Saccharomyces cerevisiae S288C: one gene and its partners. The gene in region 4 interacts genetically with the main gene of each other region. Each region holds a gene or a part of one and is shown on either strand. Other genes may lie near its edges.

Evidence for each region.
Region 1: mutations in PMT2 (region 4) and ENV9 together harm fitness more than expected from each alone (negative genetic interaction), as found in Saccharomyces cerevisiae (3 studies listed by BioGRID, with this or other methods).
Region 2: mutations in PMT2 (region 4) and CWH41 together harm fitness more than expected from each alone (negative genetic interaction), as found in Saccharomyces cerevisiae (4 studies listed by BioGRID).
Region 3: mutations in PMT2 (region 4) and PMA1 together harm fitness more than expected from each alone (negative genetic interaction), as found in Saccharomyces cerevisiae (3 studies listed by BioGRID).

The regions. Positions count from the first base shown.
Region 1 is NC_001147.6:794,556-798,657, reverse strand, and holds ENV9 (Env9p), read left to right. Parts: upstream 1-1,864; coding exon 1,865-2,857; downstream 2,858-4,102. Other genes in the region: SRL1 (Srl1p), read right to left, coding at 350-982; DGA1 (diacylglycerol O-acyltransferase), read left to right, coding at 3,326-4,102.
Region 2 is NC_001139.9:442,402-448,405, reverse strand, and holds CWH41 (mannosyl-oligosaccharide glucosidase), read left to right. Parts: upstream 1-2,262; coding exon 2,263-4,764; downstream 4,765-6,004. Other genes in the region: tryptophan synthase TRP5, read left to right, coding at 1-1,994; SCW11 (putative glucan endo-1,3-beta-D-glucosidase), read left to right, coding at 5,497-6,004. UniProt on the Saccharomyces cerevisiae protein: Cleaves the distal alpha 1,2-linked glucose residue from the Glc(3)Man(9)GlcNAc(2) oligosaccharide precursor highly specifically. Seems to play a role in beta-1,6-glucan synthesis.
Region 3 is NC_001139.9:479,410-485,679, forward strand, and holds PMA1 (H(+)-exporting P2-type ATPase PMA1), read right to left. Parts: upstream 3,258-6,270; coding exon 501-3,257; downstream 1-500. Other genes in the region: YGL007C-A (uncharacterized protein), read right to left, coding at 3,532-3,618; BRP1 (Brp1p), read left to right, coding at 3,851-4,228; YGL006W-A (uncharacterized protein), read left to right, coding at 6,014-6,124. UniProt on the Saccharomyces cerevisiae protein: The plasma membrane ATPase of plants and fungi is a hydrogen ion pump. The proton gradient it generates drives the active transport of nutrients by H(+)-symport. The resulting external acidification and/or internal alkinization may mediate growth responses.
Region 4 is NC_001133.9:105,300-111,079, reverse strand, and holds PMT2 (dolichyl-phosphate-mannose-protein mannosyltransferase PMT2), read left to right. Parts: upstream 1-2,528; coding exon 2,529-4,808; downstream 4,809-5,780. Other genes in the region: CCR4-NOT core exoribonuclease subunit CCR4, read left to right, coding at 1-234; nucleoside transmembrane transporter FUN26, read left to right, coding at 650-2,203; mitotic regulator LTE1, read left to right, coding at 5,208-5,780.

The DNA of each region.
Region 1 (4,102 bases), on a different chromosome or scaffold from region 4:
CAAATAAATTAAATAAGCATAATAAACTGTAACTCTCTAACGGGTGCAAGTATAAGCACAACACCTCAATCATTTGTGAGCAAAGAAAATGATTTATAGCTGCACTTAGAAAATAAAGCAAATTAGGTGAAGTGTCTTTTTATTTTATTTTTTTTTTTCTATTAACAAACAAATGTCCATGTATATATATATAAACGAGAGAAAAATGATAGTGAAAAATAAATACCAGTTGGAACTTAAACTGATGTATTTAGGTAGCAGAAGGATAGAGTTACAGAAGGTGAAATTGTCAATACAGATACAAAAAAGAAACAAAAAGAACTTAAAAGGACACGTTTGAACTCATAATTCACCAACTGGTCGAATTAGTAATCGAAGTGGTGTTGTACCATTGTACGTTACCTGGAGAGGTAGTGGTAACAGAAGGTGCACCGGTGACAGTAACGTATTGTGTAGTCGTATTTGGGGTGACTGTAACGTACTGGGTAACGGGCTCATTGGTGACAGTGACAAACTTTGTGATTGGGACGCAACCATTGGAAGTTGAAGCCTGTTCAAAGGACTTGACCTTTGCATCTTTGTTGTTTGAATCTTCGTCACTGACACTTGCTGCAGTAGATGATGGAGACAAAGTAGTGGAGTCATGAAGGGTTAGCAGCAAAGTGGACGTGATAGTCGAGGTGGAGGTAATTTCATGGGTGGATTCTGGGGTTACAGATCCAGAGGCCGAAGAGGTGGACAAGGAGGAGGAGGCCGCATTGGTAATGGTGGCTGAAGTTGAGGTGAACCAGCTCGTGGAGTAGACCGTTGAGGTGACAAAAAAGGTAGTGGTGTCGTCGGCGTACGATATGGTAGTCTCTTGGGGCACCAAGGAGTAGCTGGGCGCTAAAGTGGTAGTTGTAGAAACAGTATTGTTTGAATAAATCGCTGACACAGAACTTGCGAAGGTTAAAAGAGCGAAAAAGACAACGGATTGAAGCATTTTTTTATTTTTGGTTGATAAAGAACGACTAAGGTGAGAGTGAAAGTGATGTGATTTTTAATTATGTAGTGTAATTGAAACAATAAAAAAAAAACAAGGGAATGGACGAGACCTATTAATGGGTACTATGGCTCAAATAGCAAAAAAAATTTGTAAAATGGGTAAAAAAATGAGAGAAATACGCGAGAAACCTCTTGGTTGGATGTTGTGCTAAACTAGTTGCTTAAACGCTTGCAAAACTTTTTTATAGATAAAATATGCCAAGTGAAAAGAAAAGGAAGCAGAAGAGAAAAACTTAGAAAGGTAGAGGTAAGAAAGAATAAACCAAAATGTAAGCTAGGTGAGGGAAATATTTTGGAGCTTAAATATCTCGAACGACACTCACTCTCGTCAGAAAAATCTGTCGAGTAACTCAGACCACCTCCGATAGCATACCTTGTTTAGTTTCATAATCGGCAGAGACGTCATTCCTGCACAGAACGCCAAAATTCGTGGCCCCCGCGGTACCTGAATCAGGGCCAAGAATTTTGGCGTTTCGTGTTGTTGACATATTCCGAAAAAGGTATTGAGCCACAGGTCTTTCGCGTCTTCTAAGCCCCAAGATAAAGAAAATGCCGCCCTGCTTAATCACTGTTTTTTTTTGGAAAACCCTGAAGTATAGAAGTAGGGCATTGAAAGAAAAGATATGCGGGTAAGATATGAAAAAATTGAGGAAATGAGACCCAAGTGTACATGGGTATATATAAACAAATCATTATGGTGCATGATGCATCACTTACAATGCACACACACTATTGTCTTTGTAGAAACGGGGAAGACAATGGTTGTAGGCCTGATTGGTATTAGAGGCATCCGCAGTACGAGACATACGCCAAAGGCAGAATGTTAGACCCACGAATATTGCCATACTACGACCCGGCTGTGGAGAGGAAGATTGCTGTAGTAACAGGCGGAAATACGGGTATTGGGTGGTATACTGTCTTGCATTTGTATTTGCATGGGTTTGTCGTTTATATTTGTGGGAGAAACTCTCACAAGATTTCGAAAGCAATCCAGGAGATACTGGCAGAAGCAAAGAAGAGGTGCCATGAAGATGACGACGGTTCAAGCCCAGGCGCGGGCCCAGGTCCAAGCATTCAGCGTCTAGGGTCACTGCACTATATCCATTTGGATTTGACAGACTTAAAATGTGTGGAGAGAGCGGCACTTAAAATTCTCAAGCTGGAAGACCACATAGACGTGCTTGTTAACAATGCAGGGATTATGGCGGTGCCCTTAGAAATGACGAAGGACGGATTTGAAGTGCAATTGCAGACTAACTACATTTCGCACTTCATCTTCACGATGAGATTATTGCCTTTACTGCGCCATTGTCGTGGCAGGATCATTTCCCTGTCCTCGATAGGCCATCATCTAGAGTTCATGTACTGGAAACTGAGCAAGACGTGGGATTACAAACCTAATATGCTTTTCACATGGTTTAGGTACGCGATGAGTAAAACCGCGCTAATCCAATGCACGAAGATGTTGGCCATCAAATACCCTGACGTTCTTTGTCTCTCCGTTCATCCGGGTCTGGTGATGAACACAAACTTATTCAGTTATTGGACAAGGTTACCCATCGTCGGTATTTTCTTTTGGCTGTTGTTCCAGGTCGTAGGGTTCTTTTTCGGCGTATCGAACGAACAAGGTTCACTAGCTTCTTTGAAGTGTGCATTGGACCCGAATTTATCTGTCGAAAAAGATAACGGGAAGTACTTCACCACGGGGGGTAAAGAATCTAAATCGAGCTACGTTTCTAACAATGTCGACGAAGCGGCATCGACTTGGATCTGGACCGTTCATCAACTAAGAGACCGTGGTTTCGATATATAACAAGACGGAAAGATTGAAAGAGTAGATAGATGTACATTTTATTTAAATATTAGTTAGTCGTTATTGTAACTGGTAATCAGAGCAAGAAGTTTTTCTGTACTTTGTTCTCTGCAGGCAACTAAGTTACGGGCCGACAAAGGCTTATGATGTGCGTTTTTTATTCAATTGATAGATTCAGTCAGCATTGACGTAATGGGAAGGCTAGAAAAAGAGAAGACTGAATTTGGAAACTTATTCCTCAAAGCAGACCAGTACTTCCACCGCATTTCTGTACTTAACCAAGCACGACAGTGGTCTATCAGGCTTGGATCTTTCACTACACTTCCGCCAAAGTTTTTTTTTTTTCCTGTTTATCCCAGATCACGTTTGTTCCATTAAGGAGGTTTACTATCATCTCATTTCCATTTACACATACACTTACATATACATAAGGAAACGCAGAGGCATACAGTTTGAACAGTCACATAAATGTCAGGAACATTCAATGATATAAGAAGAAGGAAGAAGGAAGAAGGAAGCCCTACAGCCGGTATTACCGAAAGGCATGAGAATAAGTCTTTGTCAAGCATCGATAAAAGAGAACAGACTCTCAAACCACAACTAGAGTCATGCTGTCCATTGGCGACCCCTTTTGAAAGAAGGTTACAAACTCTGGCTGTAGCATGGCACACTTCTTCATTTGTACTCTTCTCCATATTTACGTTATTTGCAATCTCGACACCAGCACTGTGGGTTCTTGCTATTCCATATATGATTTATTTTTTTTTCGATAGGTCTCCTGCAACTGGCGAAGTGGTAAATCGATACTCTCTTCGATTTCGTTCATTGCCCATTTGGAAGTGGTATTGTGATTATTTCCCTATAAGTTTGATTAAAACTGTCAATTTAAAACCAACTTTTACGCTTTCAAAAAATAAGAGAGTTAACGAAAAAAATTACAAGATTAGATTGTGGCCAACTAAGTATTCCATTAATCTCAAAAGCAACTCTACTATTGACTATCGCAACCAGGAATGTACAGGGCCAACGTACTTATTTGGTTACCATCCACACGGCATAGGAGCACTTGGTGCGTTTGGAGCGTTTGCAACAGAAGGTTGTAACTATTCCAAGATTTTCCCAGGTATTCCTATTTCTCTGATGACACTGGTCACACAATTTCATATCCCATTGTATAGAGACTACTTATTGGCGTTAGGTATTTCTTCAGTATCTCGGAAAAACGCTTTAAGGACTCTAAGCAAA
Region 2 (6,004 bases), on a different chromosome or scaffold from region 4:
GTGGTGTAGATATCATCGAATTGGGTATGCCCTTCTCTGATCCAATTGCAGATGGTCCTACAATTCAATTATCTAATACTGTGGCTTTGCAAAACGGTGTTACCTTGCCTCAAACTCTAGAAATGGTCTCCCAAGCTAGAAATGAAGGTGTTACCGTACCCATAATCCTAATGGGTTACTATAACCCTATTCTAAACTACGGTGAAGAAAGATTTATTCAGGACGCTGCCAAGGCTGGTGCTAATGGTTTTATCATCGTCGATTTGCCACCAGAGGAGGCGTTGAAGGTCAGAAACTACATCAATGATAATGGTTTGAGCCTGATCCCACTAGTGGCTCCTTCTACCACCGACGAAAGATTGGAATTACTATCGCATATTGCCGATTCGTTTGTCTACGTTGTGTCTAGAATGGGTACTACTGGTGTTCAAAGTTCTGTGGCCAGTGATTTGGATGAACTCATCTCTAGAGTCAGAAAGTACACCAAGGATACTCCTTTGGCCGTTGGGTTTGGTGTCTCTACCAGAGAACATTTCCAATCAGTTGGTAGTGTTGCTGACGGTGTAGTGATTGGTTCCAAAATCGTCACATTATGTGGAGATGCTCCAGAGGGCAAAAGGTACGACGTTGCTAAGGAATATGTACAGGGAATTCTAAATGGTGCTAAGCATAAGGTTCTGTCCAAGGACGAATTCTTTGCCTTTCAAAAAGAGTCCTTGAAGTCCGCAAACGTTAAGAAGGAAATACTGGACGAATTTGATGAAAATCACAAGCACCCAATTAGATTTGGGGACTTTGGTGGTCAGTATGTCCCAGAAGCTCTTCATGCATGTCTAAGAGAGTTGGAAAAGGGTTTTGATGAAGCTGTCGCCGATCCCACATTCTGGGAAGACTTCAAATCCTTGTATTCTTATATTGGCCGTCCTTCTTCACTACACAAAGCTGAGAGATTAACTGAGCATTGTCAAGGTGCTCAAATCTGGTTGAAGAGAGAAGATCTTAACCACACGGGATCTCACAAGATCAACAATGCTTTAGCACAAGTTCTTCTAGCTAAAAGATTAGGCAAGAAGAACGTTATTGCTGAAACCGGTGCTGGTCAACACGGTGTTGCCACTGCCACTGCATGTGCTAAATTTGGCTTAACCTGTACTGTGTTCATGGGTGCAGAAGATGTTCGTCGCCAAGCTTTAAACGTCTTCAGAATGAGAATTCTCGGTGCTAAAGTAATTGCTGTTACTAATGGTACAAAGACTCTAAGAGACGCTACTTCAGAGGCATTCAGATTTTGGGTTACTAACTTGAAAACTACTTACTACGTCGTCGGTTCTGCCATTGGTCCTCACCCATATCCAACTTTGGTTAGAACTTTCCAAAGTGTCATTGGTAAAGAAACCAAGGAACAGTTTGCTGCCATGAACAATGGTAAATTACCTGACGCAGTTGTTGCATGTGTTGGGGGTGGTTCCAACTCTACAGGTATGTTTTCACCATTCGAGCATGATACTTCCGTTAAGTTATTGGGTGTGGAAGCCGGTGGTGATGGTGTAGATACAAAGTTCCACTCTGCTACTCTAACTGCCGGTAGACCTGGTGTCTTCCATGGTGTCAAGACTTATGTCTTGCAAGATAGTGATGGTCAAGTCCATGATACTCATTCTGTTTCTGCTGGGTTAGACTACCCAGGTGTCGGTCCAGAATTGGCATATTGGAAATCTACTGGCCGTGCTCAATTCATTGCAGCTACTGACGCTCAGGCTCTGCTTGGCTTTAAATTATTATCTCAATTAGAAGGTATTATTCCCGCTTTGGAATCTTCTCATGCTGTTTATGGCGCTTGCGAATTGGCTAAGACGATGAAGCCTGATCAACATTTGGTTATCAATATTTCTGGTAGAGGTGATAAAGATGTCCAAAGTGTCGCTGAAGTCTTGCCGAAATTAGGTCCAAAGATAGGTTGGGATTTGAGATTCGAAGAAGACCCATCTGCCTAATGAGTAATATCTGATAAGGAACGCTTTTATTTAGCTTTTTAACTACATAGACGAATATAATATACGATCGGGATACATTAGCATATTCAGCTCTTTTACCTCTCAATTTGCTCAAGATTAGTATCGTGACCAATTTTAGATCATTTCGGTCAGAACAGCCACATTTTCGCGTAATTTAAAAGTTCAATTATTGTATGCGTGACACACTATATTAGCGTCAACTGTTAATAAGGAAGTAGTGGATAATAACGGTTCAGGTTGCTTCACAATGCTTATTTCAAAATCTAAGATGTTTAAAACATTTTGGATACTAACCAGCATAGTTCTCCTGGCATCTGCCACCGTTGATATTAGTAAACTACAAGAATTCGAAGAATATCAAAAGTTCACGAATGAATCTTTACTGTGGGCACCGTATAGATCCAATTGTTACTTTGGTATGAGGCCCAGATATGTCCATGAAAGTCCACTAATTATGGGTATCATGTGGTTCAACAGTTTGAGTCAGGATGGCTTACATTCGTTAAGACATTTTGCAACGCCTCAGGATAAATTGCAAAAGTATGGTTGGGAAGTGTATGATCCAAGAATTGGTGGTAAAGAAGTTTTTATTGATGAAAAAAATAACTTGAACTTGACTGTTTATTTTGTAAAGAGCAAGAACGGGGAAAATTGGTCAGTGAGAGTTCAAGGTGAGCCTTTGGATCCCAAGAGACCATCTACAGCATCTGTCGTATTGTACTTTAGTCAAAATGGTGGCGAGATAGATGGAAAATCTTCCTTAGCAATGATAGGTCATGACGGCCCTAATGACATGAAATTCTTCGGATATTCTAAAGAATTAGGCGAGTATCATCTTACAGTAAAGGACAATTTTGGTCACTACTTCAAAAATCCGGAATATGAAACCATGGAAGTAGCACCAGGAAGTGACTGCTCTAAAACAAGTCATTTATCACTTCAAATCCCGGATAAAGAAGTTTGGAAGGCTCGTGATGTTTTCCAATCTCTAGTTAGCGATTCGATACGTGATATACTGGAAAAGGAAGAGACAAAGCAGCGTCCTGCTGATTTAATACCAAGTGTTTTAACTATTAGAAATTTGTACAATTTTAATCCTGGTAATTTTCATTATATACAAAAGACATTTGATTTGACCAAAAAAGATGGGTTCCAATTTGATATCACTTACAATAAACTTGGCACTACTCAAAGTATTTCCACCAGGGAACAAGTTACGGAGTTGATTACTTGGTCACTAAATGAGATAAACGCGCGTTTTGATAAGCAGTTTAGTTTTGGAGAAGGTCCCGACTCAATTGAAAGCGTGGAGGTCAAAAGAAGATTTGCTTTAGAGACGCTATCAAACCTATTAGGAGGAATCGGTTATTTCTATGGGAATCAACTAATTGATCGTGAAACAGAATTTGATGAGAGCCAGTTTACAGAGATCAAACTGCTGAATGCAAAAGAGGAAGGTCCATTTGAACTGTTTACCAGCGTTCCGAGCCGTGGCTTTTTCCCACGTGGATTCTATTGGGATGAAGGTTTCCATCTTCTACAAATTATGGAGTATGATTTTGACCTTGCCTTTGAAATCTTAGCGAGCTGGTTTGAAATGATCGAAGATGATAGTGGTTGGATTGCTAGAGAAATTATACTGGGTAATGAGGCAAGGAGTAAAGTTCCGCAGGAATTTCAGGTGCAAAATCCCAATATTGCTAATCCGCCAACTTTATTGCTAGCATTTAGTGAAATGCTTTCTAGGGCCATTGAAAACATCGGCGATTTCAACAGTGACAGCTACCACCAAGTCATGTTCAATAGTAGGACAGCCAAGTTTATGACGAACAATCTAGAAGCCAATCCTGGCTTGCTAACCGAATATGCCAAGAAAATTTATCCTAAGCTATTGAAGCACTATAATTGGTTCAGAAAATCTCAAACAGGACTTATTGATGAATATGAGGAAATATTGGAAGATGAAGGAATATGGGATAAGATTCATAAGAACGAAGTTTATAGATGGGTTGGGCGTACCTTCACTCATTGTTTGCCAAGCGGTATGGATGACTATCCTAGAGCACAACCACCAGATGTAGCAGAATTGAACGTAGACGCATTAGCATGGGTGGGCGTTATGACAAGATCCATGAAGCAAATTGCTCACGTGTTGAAGTTAACACAGGACGAGCAAAGATATGCACAAATTGAGCAAGAGGTGGTCGAGAATCTGGATTTGTTACACTGGAGTGAAAATGACAATTGCTACTGTGATATTAGCATCGATCCAGAAGACGATGAGATTAGGGAGTTTGTATGTCATGAGGGTTACGTCTCCGTATTGCCCTTTGCATTGAAGCTAATCCCCAAAAACTCACCCAAGCTAGAGAAAGTAGTTGCTTTGATGAGTGACCCAGAAAAAATCTTTTCAGACTACGGGCTGTTATCACTATCGAGACAAGACGACTATTTCGGCAAGGATGAAAACTATTGGAGAGGCCCAATTTGGATGAATATTAATTACTTGTGTCTTGACGCAATGAGATACTACTACCCAGAGGTGATTCTCGACGTGGCTGGTGAGGCTAGCAATGCCAAGAAACTGTACCAAAGTTTAAAGATTAATCTCAGTAACAACATATACAAAGTTTGGGAAGAACAAGGTTATTGTTATGAAAATTACAGTCCGATAGATGGTCATGGTACTGGTGCTGAGCATTTCACAGGCTGGACAGCACTTGTTGTCAACATCCTTGGACGCTTCTGAATCTATGTAGATATTTTCAGTCATATAAACAGATATGTAACCAGATATGTACCAGTATGCAGGATGAAAATTATAAATGTTCCAGCTATTCGAAAAGGGCCTCGCATCTCTTAGTTAGAGCCAGCATTTTCAGCTTTTTTTTTCTCGCGTTTATTTACATTTCGATGCGGCTGTGAGAAAAAGTTAAAAAATCGTGGAAACCAGCAACTGGTAACTAGCAGTCTGGGCCATTGCAGCTAAAAGCCAGACAAATAAACAATCGAAAACACACTCGAAACATGCATTATGAAATGTCACATTTTTTTTTTTCTTTTGGGGATTAATGGTTGCGAAGTGAGGTCTTTTCTATTTACTGCGGTAAGATGAATAAAAGTTAGGGAATGTTATTGTTTACAAGCTGGATACTAGATCTCAAAATGTTAAAGTGTAAGGACTGACAACAAAATATGCTGCACCGAAAACAAATTAAGAATCTGAGGAGGGACTATTTAAGTGGAAAGAAAATTGAAGTTCAATGATCGTGTTTTCCTTCTGCTTATCCAAATACACTGTTATATATTAAGGCAACAGTACTATAATCGTCAGTTACGCAACAAAGACAGTCCACTCTTTTAGAAGAATAAGCCTTTACTGACATACCTCCACTGTAATAAATCTATTCTATTCTCTGTACTGTTTATCGACTTATTATTACGCTACACTCATTGATATAATATCTAATAGAAAACCATCATGATTTCACCCATAAGCTTTCTATCATCGCTGCTATGCTTAACTTATCTAACCTCAGCTTTACCGATTCTTCCTAAGAGAGAAGTTGTAACGAGAGTTCACACAGCAAGCACAACTAATGTTGTGACTGATTTTTACTCCACTACTACCGAAGTTGTTATTGCCCCAACTGTCGAATTCCTAATAAGCGATAGTGTTACCTTTACAACAACCTTAATTCCACAAGGTGTGAACCCAACAGCTGAACCAACTACGACTATCACTAAAGTTCTCTTAAAAAAGGCTGAAATGAGTACATCTTCGCAGCCAACCTCTACTTTGCAGCCAAGCACTATTCCACAATCAACCTCCTCTTTTCAAGCAGAATCTACTTTGCAAGCCGTCTCTACGCAACAAACTGCTATGTCTGTTTCTGCAGGTACTAGTGAGGATGTGCAACAATTAGCTACTACTTCTACCTCTATCTCCTCCTCTCCTTCCCCTACCACTACGTCTACTTCCACACAAA
Region 3 (6,270 bases), on a different chromosome or scaffold from region 4:
AAATTAGTGTGTGTGCATTATATATATTAAAAATTAAGAATTAGACTAAATAAAGTGTTTCTAAAAAAATATTAAAGTTGAAATGTGCGTGTTGTGAATTGTGCTCTATTAGAATAATTATGACTTGTGTGCGTTTCATATTTTAAAATAGGAAATAACCAAGAAAGAAAAAGTACCATCCAGAGAAACCAATTATATCAAATCAAATAAAACAACCAGCTTCGGTGTGTGTGTGTGTGTGAAGCTAAGAGTTGATGCCATTTAATCTAAAAATTTTAAGGTGTGTGTGTGGATAAAATATTAGAATGACAATTCGAGATGAAATTTTAAGCAAACTCTAGTAGGAAATAAGCGGCTTATTCTTGTTGGCTCCTAATTCTTTTTAGTGTATCAGTTCCCATTGATAAAAAAATTAAAATTAAAATTAGAAAAATTAAACCAGAAAAATCAAGTTGATTAAAATGTGACAAAAATTATGATTAAATGCTACTTCAACAGGATTAGGTTTCCTTTTCGTGTTGAGTAGAGACTCTTTGCATAGCAGCCATGAAGTCTTCGACACTTCTGGTAGACTTCTTTTCCTTCATTGGCTTACCGTTCATCAATCTGTCAAAGGCTTCAGAAGTGGACATTTCGTAGTAGAAACCACCCAAAACACAGAAGATACCGATAGACCAGATCCAGACACGGACGACAGTAACAATATCAGTCCAGTTTTCAGACCACCAACCGAATAAGGTAAACATGGTAGCGATGATGTCGACAGCGAAGACGGCACCAGCCAATTGCCAGGATGGGATAGAAGACCAGAATGGACCAGCAGCTCTGGTAATGAAAATCAACCAGTTTTCAGTCAAGGAAATTTGCAAGAACATAATACCGTTCATAGCACCGAAGTTTTGGATAATACCACCCTTTGGTAAGAACATAGTAGTCAAGGTAATCCAAGAACCTATAGCTAAAACTATGCCCAAAATAATAGACATACCCCATAATCTTGGTAGGTTCCATTTAACGGGCTTTGGAGAGTAAGGAGCATTATCGTAAGCAATAGCCAAAGTAGCAACATCAGCGAAAATAGCGATGAAAACAATCAAATCAATGTCCAAAGAGTTATCCAAAATAGCAATCCATAGACCCAAGAAGATTTCCAAATGTAGAGACAAAGCAATACGGTAAACAACGTAAGAGTACATTCTGTGAAAAATTTGTCTGGAGGTCTTCAAAGCATCAATAATAGCAGATAGACCAGGAGCCAAGAAAACAATATCAGCAGCAGATCTGGCAGCATCAGTAGCACCTTCGACAGCAATACCAGTATCAGCCTTCTTCAAAGATGGAGCATCGTTAACACCATCACCAGTCATAGCAACCAAGTAACCTCTGTTTTGCAAGATTTCAACAACTCTGTATTTATGTTGTGGGAAAACTTCAGCGAAACCATCGGCATTTTCAACAAAATCAGCTAATTCAGAACCTGGCATGTCACCACCGCCACCTAGACCTAATCTTTCAGCGTTGTAAATGTTGGTACCCAAACCCAATTGTCTACAAGTTTCCTTAGCAATACCAACAGCATCACCAGTTAACATCTTAACTCTTAGACCCAAGTGTCTAGCTTCGCTAACAGTTTGAGCAGTATCGTCTCTTGGTGGATCCATACATGGCATAACACCCAAGATTTCCCAGTGACCTTCACCTCTCTTTCTAGCAACACCTAAAGCACGGAACCCTCTAGAAGCCAATTCAGCAACCTTGTTTTCGTAGTTTTCATGGACATCTTCTGGGATTGGGTGATCTTCTTCGACAGTCTTCAAGACGAATAATGGAGCACCCTTAACACAAACAATTCTTTCACCTTCTGGAGATTCGACAACGGCAGTAACCTTCTTGGAGACAGGGTCAAATGGATGGAATTCCAAAACCTTGTACTTGGTCAAAGCGTCCTTAGCCTTTGGATATTGCTTCAAAGACTTCAAGAAAGCCTTATCAATAGCATCCAAACCCTTCTTCTTTCTGGAAGCAGCCAAACAAGCAGTCAACATCAAGTCGTCTGGAGAAACACCTTCAACAGTGTATGGTTCGTGCAAGGACAACTTGTTCTTGGTCAAAGTACCGGTTTTGTCGGAACACAAGATTTCGACACCAGCCAAGGATTCAATAGCAGACAACTTTTGAACAATGGCTTGTTTCTTAGCCAAGTAAGCAGCACCGACGGCCATAGTGGTGGTAACGACAGCTGGCAAACCGACTGGGACACCAATAATAGTAATACCTAGAGTGTATCTCAAGATTCTAACAATACCGTTGGTTCTGTAGAAACAAGCAGTCCAGACCAACAACAAAGTGGCAATGACCAAAACCAATAAGATAATACCAATACCGTTCAAAACTTCAGTGAAATGACCTTGACCACCAGCGGCTTTGTTAACCAAAGCAGCAGCTCTACCAACGAAAGTGTTGTCACCGGTAGCGGTAACAACCATGAAACCTTCACCTCTCTTAACAGTGGAAGAAGAGAAAGTTTGGTCACCGTAATGTTTGTCGACAGCCAAAGATTCACCAGTAATAGCAGATTGATCGATTTGCAAGAAACAGTCTTCAGTGACAATACGACCATCAGTTGGGATAACAGTACCATCTTCCAATTGCAAAATATCACCTGGGACGACTTCGTTGGCTGGAATTTCAACCAATTGACCGTCTCTGATAACAACAGCAGTGTTAGCCAAAGTCTTTTTCAATTCATCGACAATAGAACCAGCTTGGAATTCTTGAACGAAACCAACACCAGCGTTTAACATTAACAAACCACAGATAACACCGAAATCGACCCAATCGGACAAACCGGCAGCCAAAATAGCAGCGGCTTCCATAACGAATTGAATTGGACCGACGAAAAACATAACGAACTTAACGACTAAAGATTCTTTTTCGTCAGCCATTTGATTCAAACCGTACTTCTTTCTTCTTTTCAAAACTTCATCGGAAGTTAAACCGTAAGATGGGTCAGTTTGTAAATATTCTTCTGGAACTGGTCTAGCTTCACCGGCGGCAACTGGACCATCGTTATCACTGTCTTCGTCGTCGACACCGTGATTAGATTGTAGTTCTTCGATTAAAGCATCGATATCGTCATCGTCAGAAGATTCAGATGCAGCGTCATCGTAAGTCTTAGCAGGCTTTTCTTGAGTTGGCTGATGAGCTGAAACAGAAGATGCTGAAGAGGATGATGAAGAGGATGATGTATCAGTCATATTGATATTGTTTGATAATTAAATCTTTCTTATCTTCTTATTCTTTTCAATGATTTTCTTTAACTAGCTGGGGTATATTTTTTTTCTTTCTTTTGAATGTGTGTATAAAAGAGAGAAAAAATGGTTATTTTCCAATTAATTAATTATTAACGATTGTTAAAGAAAAAATTTATCAACGAGGTTGATAGAAAAAAAAAGTTTTTGTAGATATAGAAGAAAAAAAGATTTTCACTATTGGTGTTATAGGAAAGAAAGAGAAAAAATTTAAGAGAAATTAGATGTTAGACGATAATGATAGGACATTTGAAAATAATACAATATTTGGCCTTTTTATATAATCGAAACTAATGGAGGGGAGCATAAGCGGTACCCACCATCGACCACGTTTCGTCACCGGTCATAATTGGAATAAACAAAACAAACAAACGAACTAAAGAGTGTGAGAGTAACAATTTCCACAGAGGTAAAAAAAAAAAAAAGGAAAACAGAAACAAAAAAAGCTCATAGTTCTACTATAGCTTCTTCAGACTTTCTGTGAACGAGGGAAAAAGACAACAAAAAAGCAATGGATAAACGGTCTCGAGAGATTTTTCATGATGGAAAAGGAAGGAAAAAAACCCGAAAGGCATATGGATAACATTCTGAAAATGTCTATTCCTGTCAAAAGCATGTCAGAGGTCTCGAGGCCTGGAAGTGCCGCATTAGGAAATACAGATGCAATGCGCGCGAGTTTACGAAATTCTCGCAGGAGTTTCTCCGGCCATGTGCGGCTGGTTCTACGTCTCGTGTATGGGTTTATTTCTGCGGTAATTATCGCCGGATCTCCGCTTCGAGACCGGGTTTGTTTTCAAATTACCGGAAAAGGTCAGGCAAAACAGAGTGATGTATGGGTGATCCCAGCAATGCCTGTTTATGTTTCTCCGTTTCAGGAAGCTTGTTTTGTTTTTTCCCCGTCAGCGATGGTGACGTAAACGACTTTTTGCACTTTAGCAAAGCTGAGTTAATCTCGGAAAATCTCTGTGTCCTTCCTTTTTCTTCTAGCTTCCGTTCCGAGTCTCATCTTCTTTCCCGTGCCGTCGGGTTTAGTAAAGAAATGTAAAGAAAAAATGTCGTATCGTACCCGAGAAATATTTCAATTCTCTTACGTATGCGATAGCAGTTGGAAAGATCTGATTCGTTACGATGACTTGATAAGCGCGGGCTTTTTCGCCCTATACGGCTTGGGCCTGACTAAAATGTGATTCTGTGTTTTACGTATATGCGCGTATATAGAGCAATTGATTGACTTATTACGCAGTTTATCAAGATAAATTCTTTGTTCTTGCTTACGGGAGTGTGGTAAGCATGTATACGCCCGTTTAAAAACCCGATGGAGGCTTTTTCCCCAATTCTCGTACTCCATTGGGCATATGATTTCTTTCTTTTTCCCTTTTTTTTTTTTTCTATTTCCCTAAACTAACAGAACAAGCTTCAAAACAAATGACGGAGAGAAAAACAGTTTTGATTTACCAAATGCGGCAAACTTATTGAGGCTAGACACAGCTCTACCGGATTCGTCCGAGCACTTTTTTGTTTTCTTTTCTATATTTACTACAAACATAACAAAGTTTTGTGCGTCTTCCCTAAAGCAGCTAGGATGAAAATCCTATGCTCTCATCTCGCTGGTTGCCATCTCATCGCATCCAATGCTGTCTGTAATCATTTTATTGGACTTTTCTTTGTTTGCTAATCCCCCTTTTCTTTTTCCCGTTCTTTTCTTGTCCTTGTTTTTCATTTTAACTATATTTCTGAAATTAAGGAAAAATAAGGCAAAAAGTGGGTGGATGCATCTGCGACTTCTCTAGTTTTGCGCCTACTTGGGCGCGCTAATAATAAGGGTTTAGCTTCTTAAAATAAAAATGTCAGTAACAGTTGTACGATAAGGTCTTTACTTTTTTTCTCTCGAGAAATGTCTTTTTCTAATTAATCTCTCTTTTCTGTTGTTGGTTACTGCCTTCCATAGTCCAAGACCATTCGTTATATGGTGCAGTGTAGGATCGAGGAGAATCGGCTCACGGTGCTTATATTATTGCCCGGCTTCAAGTATATTTACATCAGTCTCCATAGTTGTTTTATCTTATTCTTGGCATTGATCTGCTTATTAAACTATTTATCGGTTCTCTCTTCTGGTACAGAACTTAACATGATCTTGTTTTCACTATTGTGCCATAAGCTGAAAAGGCTAAAATAAAATTAAGATAGTAAAGTTCACTCTTAAACTAATCAAGCATGAATAATACAAAATAAATATTTGAGCCAAAGGGGATGATTTAATTATCAAGTTTTTCTTTTCATACTTCGGTTTACAAGCATTGTTTACGGCTCTTCTTTTCTTAGTTCTTGGCAGTTTGTGTTTTCTTGATGAGAATAAGAAAAGTATCGATCTTACGGCAAAACATAAATAAAACACAACTTTATCTTTTTTTGTCGCAGTAGTGTGGTCCTACAGCTCCAAGCCTGCCGCTTTTAAAATAGTGAGCTGTGCATACTGATATATGTTCTATTTTACCCATTTGAGGGGCCTAAATTGTCTATTAATTTTTTTACTTTAATACAGTTTGTATAGAAACATGTGGCACTAACAGCTTTATCCGCCCGCAGAAAAGATAAAAAAAAAGGGTTTTTACCCGGCAAAGAAGCTTCTCCATCATTTGTCAGGGGGAAAAGAAAATTAGGAGGCTCAGGCCCTAGAAGCGCCCTCCACGCTTTTTAAACAAATGCTAATCTTCATAATTCATTATCATCGCCACTTGGCATTGCATTTAATGGGCGCCTTCCAAAAACATTCAAATAGTATCAGCCCCCCCCCAAGGAAAGGCTTTATTTGAATTGCGTTAAATATTCGATTTCTTTCTAGCAATTATTACCAAAATAAATTGCAGGCTTAACGAAAAATTAAATAATCTCTTCAGATTTTTTCACTTCCCCAAACTACATTTTAGTCAGGTTGGCACGATTCAATTGAGAAGGCTTA
Region 4 (5,780 bases):
AATTGTATCGGAGAACTACCATTCACCAATTTCACACCGTCATTCACAGATGTTATCGACTATATATGGTTTTCTACACATGCTCTAAGGGTGCGTGGGCTATTGGGTGAAGTGGACCCTGAATACGTGAGTAAGTTTATCGGGTTCCCCAACGACAAATTCCCCAGTGACCATATACCATTGTTAGCAAGATTTGAATTTATGAAGACAAACACAGGCAGTAAGAAAGTATAAACCGCACACTTTCATCCCACTCCCTCCCTCCTCTCTGTACACTACCTCATTATAAAATTGAAACGATCCCAATCTCACCGCACTTCCCATAAAGCCTTCACGTTATACTTTTTTTTCTCATCTTTTTTTTCTCTCTCTCTCTCTCTCTCTTTTGCGTATCTTTTTCGTCCTGTTTCTTTCTTACTTAAGTATCTTTTTATAATATTTAAGAGAGCCAAAATTATTTAACCAAACCAAGAATCTTGTATTCTATAACGAATCCTTAATTCTTCTTGTTGTTATTAATGCCAAAAACAGAATTAATTTCCCGAAAAAGAAAAAAAAATTGACTTAAAAAATCATAGGAAAGGATGAATGATTTACGTTACGGCGACAGCTTATCATCAAACGCAAGAAAGCATACCAGATTGCAAAAATGAGTACTAGTGCGGACACTGATACCATCAAGAAGCCAATCCTTGCGGTGCCAGAGCCTGCACTGGCCGATACGCATTCAGAGGAGATATCACGCTCTGGAGAAGAACATGAATCAGAGAACAACGAGCACTCAGATGAAGAAGGCGATAATTATTCTGAAAGAGAGCAATCTGTGTCAACCGAACCACTGGATACATTGCCGTTAAGAAAAAAGTTGAAAAATCTTTCATATATTACATTTTTCGCCATAGGAATAGGTCTTTTATGGCCGTGGAACTGTATCCTCAGTGCCTCGCAATATTTTAAGCACGATATTTTCAAAGACACCTCCATTTGGGCAAAGATCTTCACAAGCTCTATGATGTCCTTTTCTACCATATCGTCAATGCTGTTCAACATCTACTTGGCCAAAAGACAGTACAAATACTCGAGAAGGGTCATAAACGGGCTTGTGTGGGAGATTATTGTCTTTACTGTCATGTGCTTCTTTACAATTTTGCATTTCCTTTTACCTAAATGGTTCAATTTCATGTTTATAATGATGCTTGTAGTGATCAGTTCCATGGGGACAGCCATGACACAGAATGGTATCATGGCCATAGCCAACGTCTTCGGTTCCGAGTACAGTCAAGGTGTCATGGTGGGGCAAGCCGTTGCTGGTGTCCTGCCCTCCCTAGTGCTTTTTGCCCTAGCTTTCATCGAGAACTCTTCTGTGTCTACTACGGGCGGGATTCTTCTATACTTTTTTACCACAACACTCGTGGTCACCATTTGTGTGGTCATGTTCAGCGTGAGCAAAATCAGTCGGAAAGTGAACGAGAATTGGAATGTGGAAGACGGACATATCACTGATGTGTTGTTAGGGTCTCTGCGCTCCAATGAGGAGGAAATCCGTATTGTTGGCCGCATTGACCAAATGGAGGATGAAGACCACCGCCGCACCAACGGCACTCGCGACGACAACGACGAAGGTGAGGAACTCCAACTAAAAGTGCCTTTCGAGGTCTTATTTGCCAAACTAAAGTACCTGGTTCTTTCCATATTCACCACGTTTGTCGTAACTCTTGTTTTTCCTGTATTTGCGTCTGCCACCTACGTGACAGGGCTTCCTTTAAGCAACGCACAGTACATACCTCTCATATTCACGCTGTGGAACCTAGGCGACCTTTACGGAAGAGTCATTGCCGACTGGCCCATGTTCCGTGACCAGAAATTTACGCCACGCAAAACCTTCATCTACTCATTGTTGCGGGTGGCCGCAATACCACTGTTCTTGATGTTCACAGCCATCACCTCCTCTTCAAGCGGCGATGAAGAGCACAATGGCTCCGTAATCGTTGACTTGTGTTACATGCTACTGCAGTTCCTTTTCGGCGTAACCAACGGGCACGTCATCTCTATGAGTTTCATGAAGGTGCCAGAGCAACTGGACAACGACGACGAGAAGGAAGCGGCCGGTGGATTCACTAATATTTTCGTTTCTACAGGACTAGCTCTGGGCAGCATCATAAGCTACGTATTCGTCTTCATAATTGACTTTATTATCAGGTAGATAGATACTGTACATACCGAAACGCCATCATTTACAGTCGTGATACGATTTACTGTCACTTAGCAATAATATCTCGTACATAGCGACAAACATACATATTATTGGACACGTCGCCCTGAAAAAAAAAAACATAAGAAAAGAATACGAAAAAAAAGAACGAAAGAACTTACGGAAAGATCCGTTTCGTGTACTGTTTATTAATAGTGTTGCATTCTTTTTGAGGGTAAAAAAAAGGTCATTTCTCGAGACTAACAACATTACCAAGGAGAACCGGCTTAGTCCACATCGCTACTGTCATTCTGTTTCGAACCGTGGTCCAGCAATCATGTCCTCGTCTTCGTCTACCGGGTACAGCAAAAACAATGCCGCCCACATTAAGCAAGAGAATACACTGAGACAAAGAGAATCGTCTTCCATCAGCGTCAGTGAGGAACTTTCGAGCGCTGATGAGAGAGACGCGGAAGATTTCTCGAAGGAAAAGCCCGCTGCACAAAGCTCACTGTTACGCCTGGAATCCGTTGTAATGCCGGTGATCTTTACTGCATTGGCGTTGTTTACCAGGATGTACAAAATCGGCATCAACAACCATGTTGTTTGGGATGAGGCGCACTTTGGTAAATTTGGTTCTTATTACTTGAGACACGAATTTTACCACGATGTCCATCCTCCCCTAGGAAAAATGCTGGTCGGGTTGTCTGGTTATTTGGCAGGCTACAACGGTTCTTGGGACTTCCCTTCTGGGGAAATTTACCCAGACTATTTGGATTATGTTAAAATGAGACTGTTCAACGCGTCATTTTCCGCGCTCTGTGTGCCATTGGCCTACTTCACTGCCAAAGCTATTGGATTTTCTTTACCAACAGTTTGGCTGATGACCGTGTTGGTTTTGTTTGAAAACTCGTATAGTACTTTGGGCAGGTTCATTCTTTTGGACTCCATGCTACTTTTCTTCACTGTCGCATCGTTCTTTAGTTTTGTTATGTTCCACAACCAGAGGTCCAAGCCGTTCTCTAGAAAGTGGTGGAAATGGCTGTTGATCACTGGTATTTCTTTGGGTTGCACTATTTCCGTCAAAATGGTGGGTCTATTTATCATCACTATGGTCGGTATCTATACTGTGATTGACTTATGGACCTTTTTGGCAGATAAATCCATGTCATGGAAAACCTATATTAACCACTGGTTGGCAAGAATATTTGGTCTTATTATCGTCCCCTTCTGCATTTTCCTATTGTGCTTCAAAATACATTTTGACCTATTATCGCATTCTGGTACAGGTGATGCTAACATGCCATCTCTTTTCCAAGCAAGATTAGTGGGTTCTGACGTCGGACAAGGCCCCCGTGACATTGCTCTAGGTTCCTCCGTTGTTTCCATCAAAAACCAAGCTCTTGGAGGATCTCTATTGCACTCACATATACAAACTTATCCAGATGGGTCCAACCAACAACAAGTAACCTGTTATGGTTACAAAGATGCTAACAACGAATGGTTTTTCAACAGAGAAAGAGGCTTACCATCATGGTCAGAAAACGAAACTGACATCGAGTATTTGAAGCCAGGTACCTCCTATAGATTGGTACACAAAAGCACGGGCAGAAACTTGCACACCCACCCAGTTGCTGCACCAGTGTCAAAGACACAATGGGAGGTTTCTGGTTACGGTGACAATGTTGTTGGTGACAACAAAGACAATTGGGTTATTGAGATCATGGACCAAAGAGGAGATGAAGACCCTGAGAAGTTGCACACATTGACCACCTCTTTCCGTATCAAGAACTTGGAGATGGGCTGTTACTTGGCTCAAACCGGTAACAGTTTGCCCGAATGGGGTTTCAGACAACAAGAGGTTGTCTGCATGAAAAACCCATTCAAGAGGGACAAGAGGACCTGGTGGAACATCGAGACCCACGAAAATGAAAGGTTGCCACCAAGACCCGAAGATTTTCAATACCCAAAGACCAACTTCTTAAAAGACTTCATTCATTTAAATCTAGCCATGATGGCCACTAATAACGCTTTGGTGCCAGATCCAGACAAATTTGATTACTTAGCTTCCTCAGCATGGCAATGGCCAACTTTGAATGTGGGTTTGAGACTATGTGGCTGGGGTGATGATAATCCAAAATACTTCCTATTGGGTACCCCAGCTTCCACGTGGGCTTCTAGTGTTGCCGTCCTCGCATTCATGGCCACGGTCGTTATCTTACTGATCAGATGGCAAAGACAATATGTGGACCTAAGAAATCCATCTAACTGGAACGTTTTCTTAATGGGCGGGTTCTACCCACTACTAGCTTGGGGCCTACACTACATGCCATTCGTTATCATGTCTAGAGTCACCTACGTTCATCATTACTTGCCTGCCTTGTATTTTGCACTGATCATTTTGGCGTACTGTTTCGACGCCGGTTTGCAAAAATGGTCCAGATCTAAGTGCGGCCGTATCATGCGGTTCGTCCTATACGCCGGATTCATGGCACTTGTAATTGGTTGCTTCTGGTACTTCTCCCCAATATCATTTGGTATGGAGGGACCAAGTAGTAACTTCCGCTACTTAAACTGGTTTTCCACTTGGGACATTGCCGACAAGCAAGAAGCATGAATTAAGATCATCGTAGTAAGTACATAAGTAAAAAACAAGAATTAAATAAAATTTCTATATCAACCAGCAGAAGAAGTGGTCTATATAAACCACTATATAATGAATTTCGATAAACACTCTTTAATTGTTAACCAGGCTGTTCTCCTTACTCATCTTTGCGATCCGATGCTGTTTTATTACCCTTCTATTTTTTCCTTTCTGCATTTTGATTTTCGCGAATAATGAAATTCTTGATCTTTTTATCAACAATGAAAAAAAAACTGTAAACAGAAACTGATAATTTCTTGAACCCTTTAGCCCACCCCAACCGTACTCGTGTTATTCGCTCGTTGATTTACGCGAACCTTTTTGTTTGCTTTACATAGCCTCTAGCCATTCAAAGATTCGCTACCCTGAACCATGGAAATATTTAGCCAGAAAGATTACTACCCGACTCCATCCTCAAATGTTATTAGCTATGAAAGCGATTGTGTATCCAAACCAGTGAATAGTGCAGACCTGCCCGCGTTAATTGTACACCTTTCTTCCCCTTTGGAAGGTGTAGACTACAACGCATCTGCAGATTTTTTCCTTATTTATAGGAATTTTATAACGCCTCAAGACTTACACGACTTACTCATCTATAGATTTCGATGGTGTATTAGGGAGATCACAACAAATGCTGCAAAAGCTAAGAGAAGGCGAATTGGTGAAGTTGCCCTCGTGAGGACGTTTGTGTTGTTGAGGCATTCCATACTGAATTATTTTGTGCAAGATTTTTTACCGAACATAACATTAAGACTTCGGTTGATCGAGTTTCTAAACGACAAACACATTGAACAGTACCCAAAAATAATTTCCAGCTGTATAATCAATCTGAAAAAAAACTGGGTGCATTGTTCTAAGTTGGTTTGGGAGAATATTGAACTAAATGAACCTGATAAATTAGACTTTGATGCATGGCTGCATTATTCGTTAAAGGATTTCACGCAA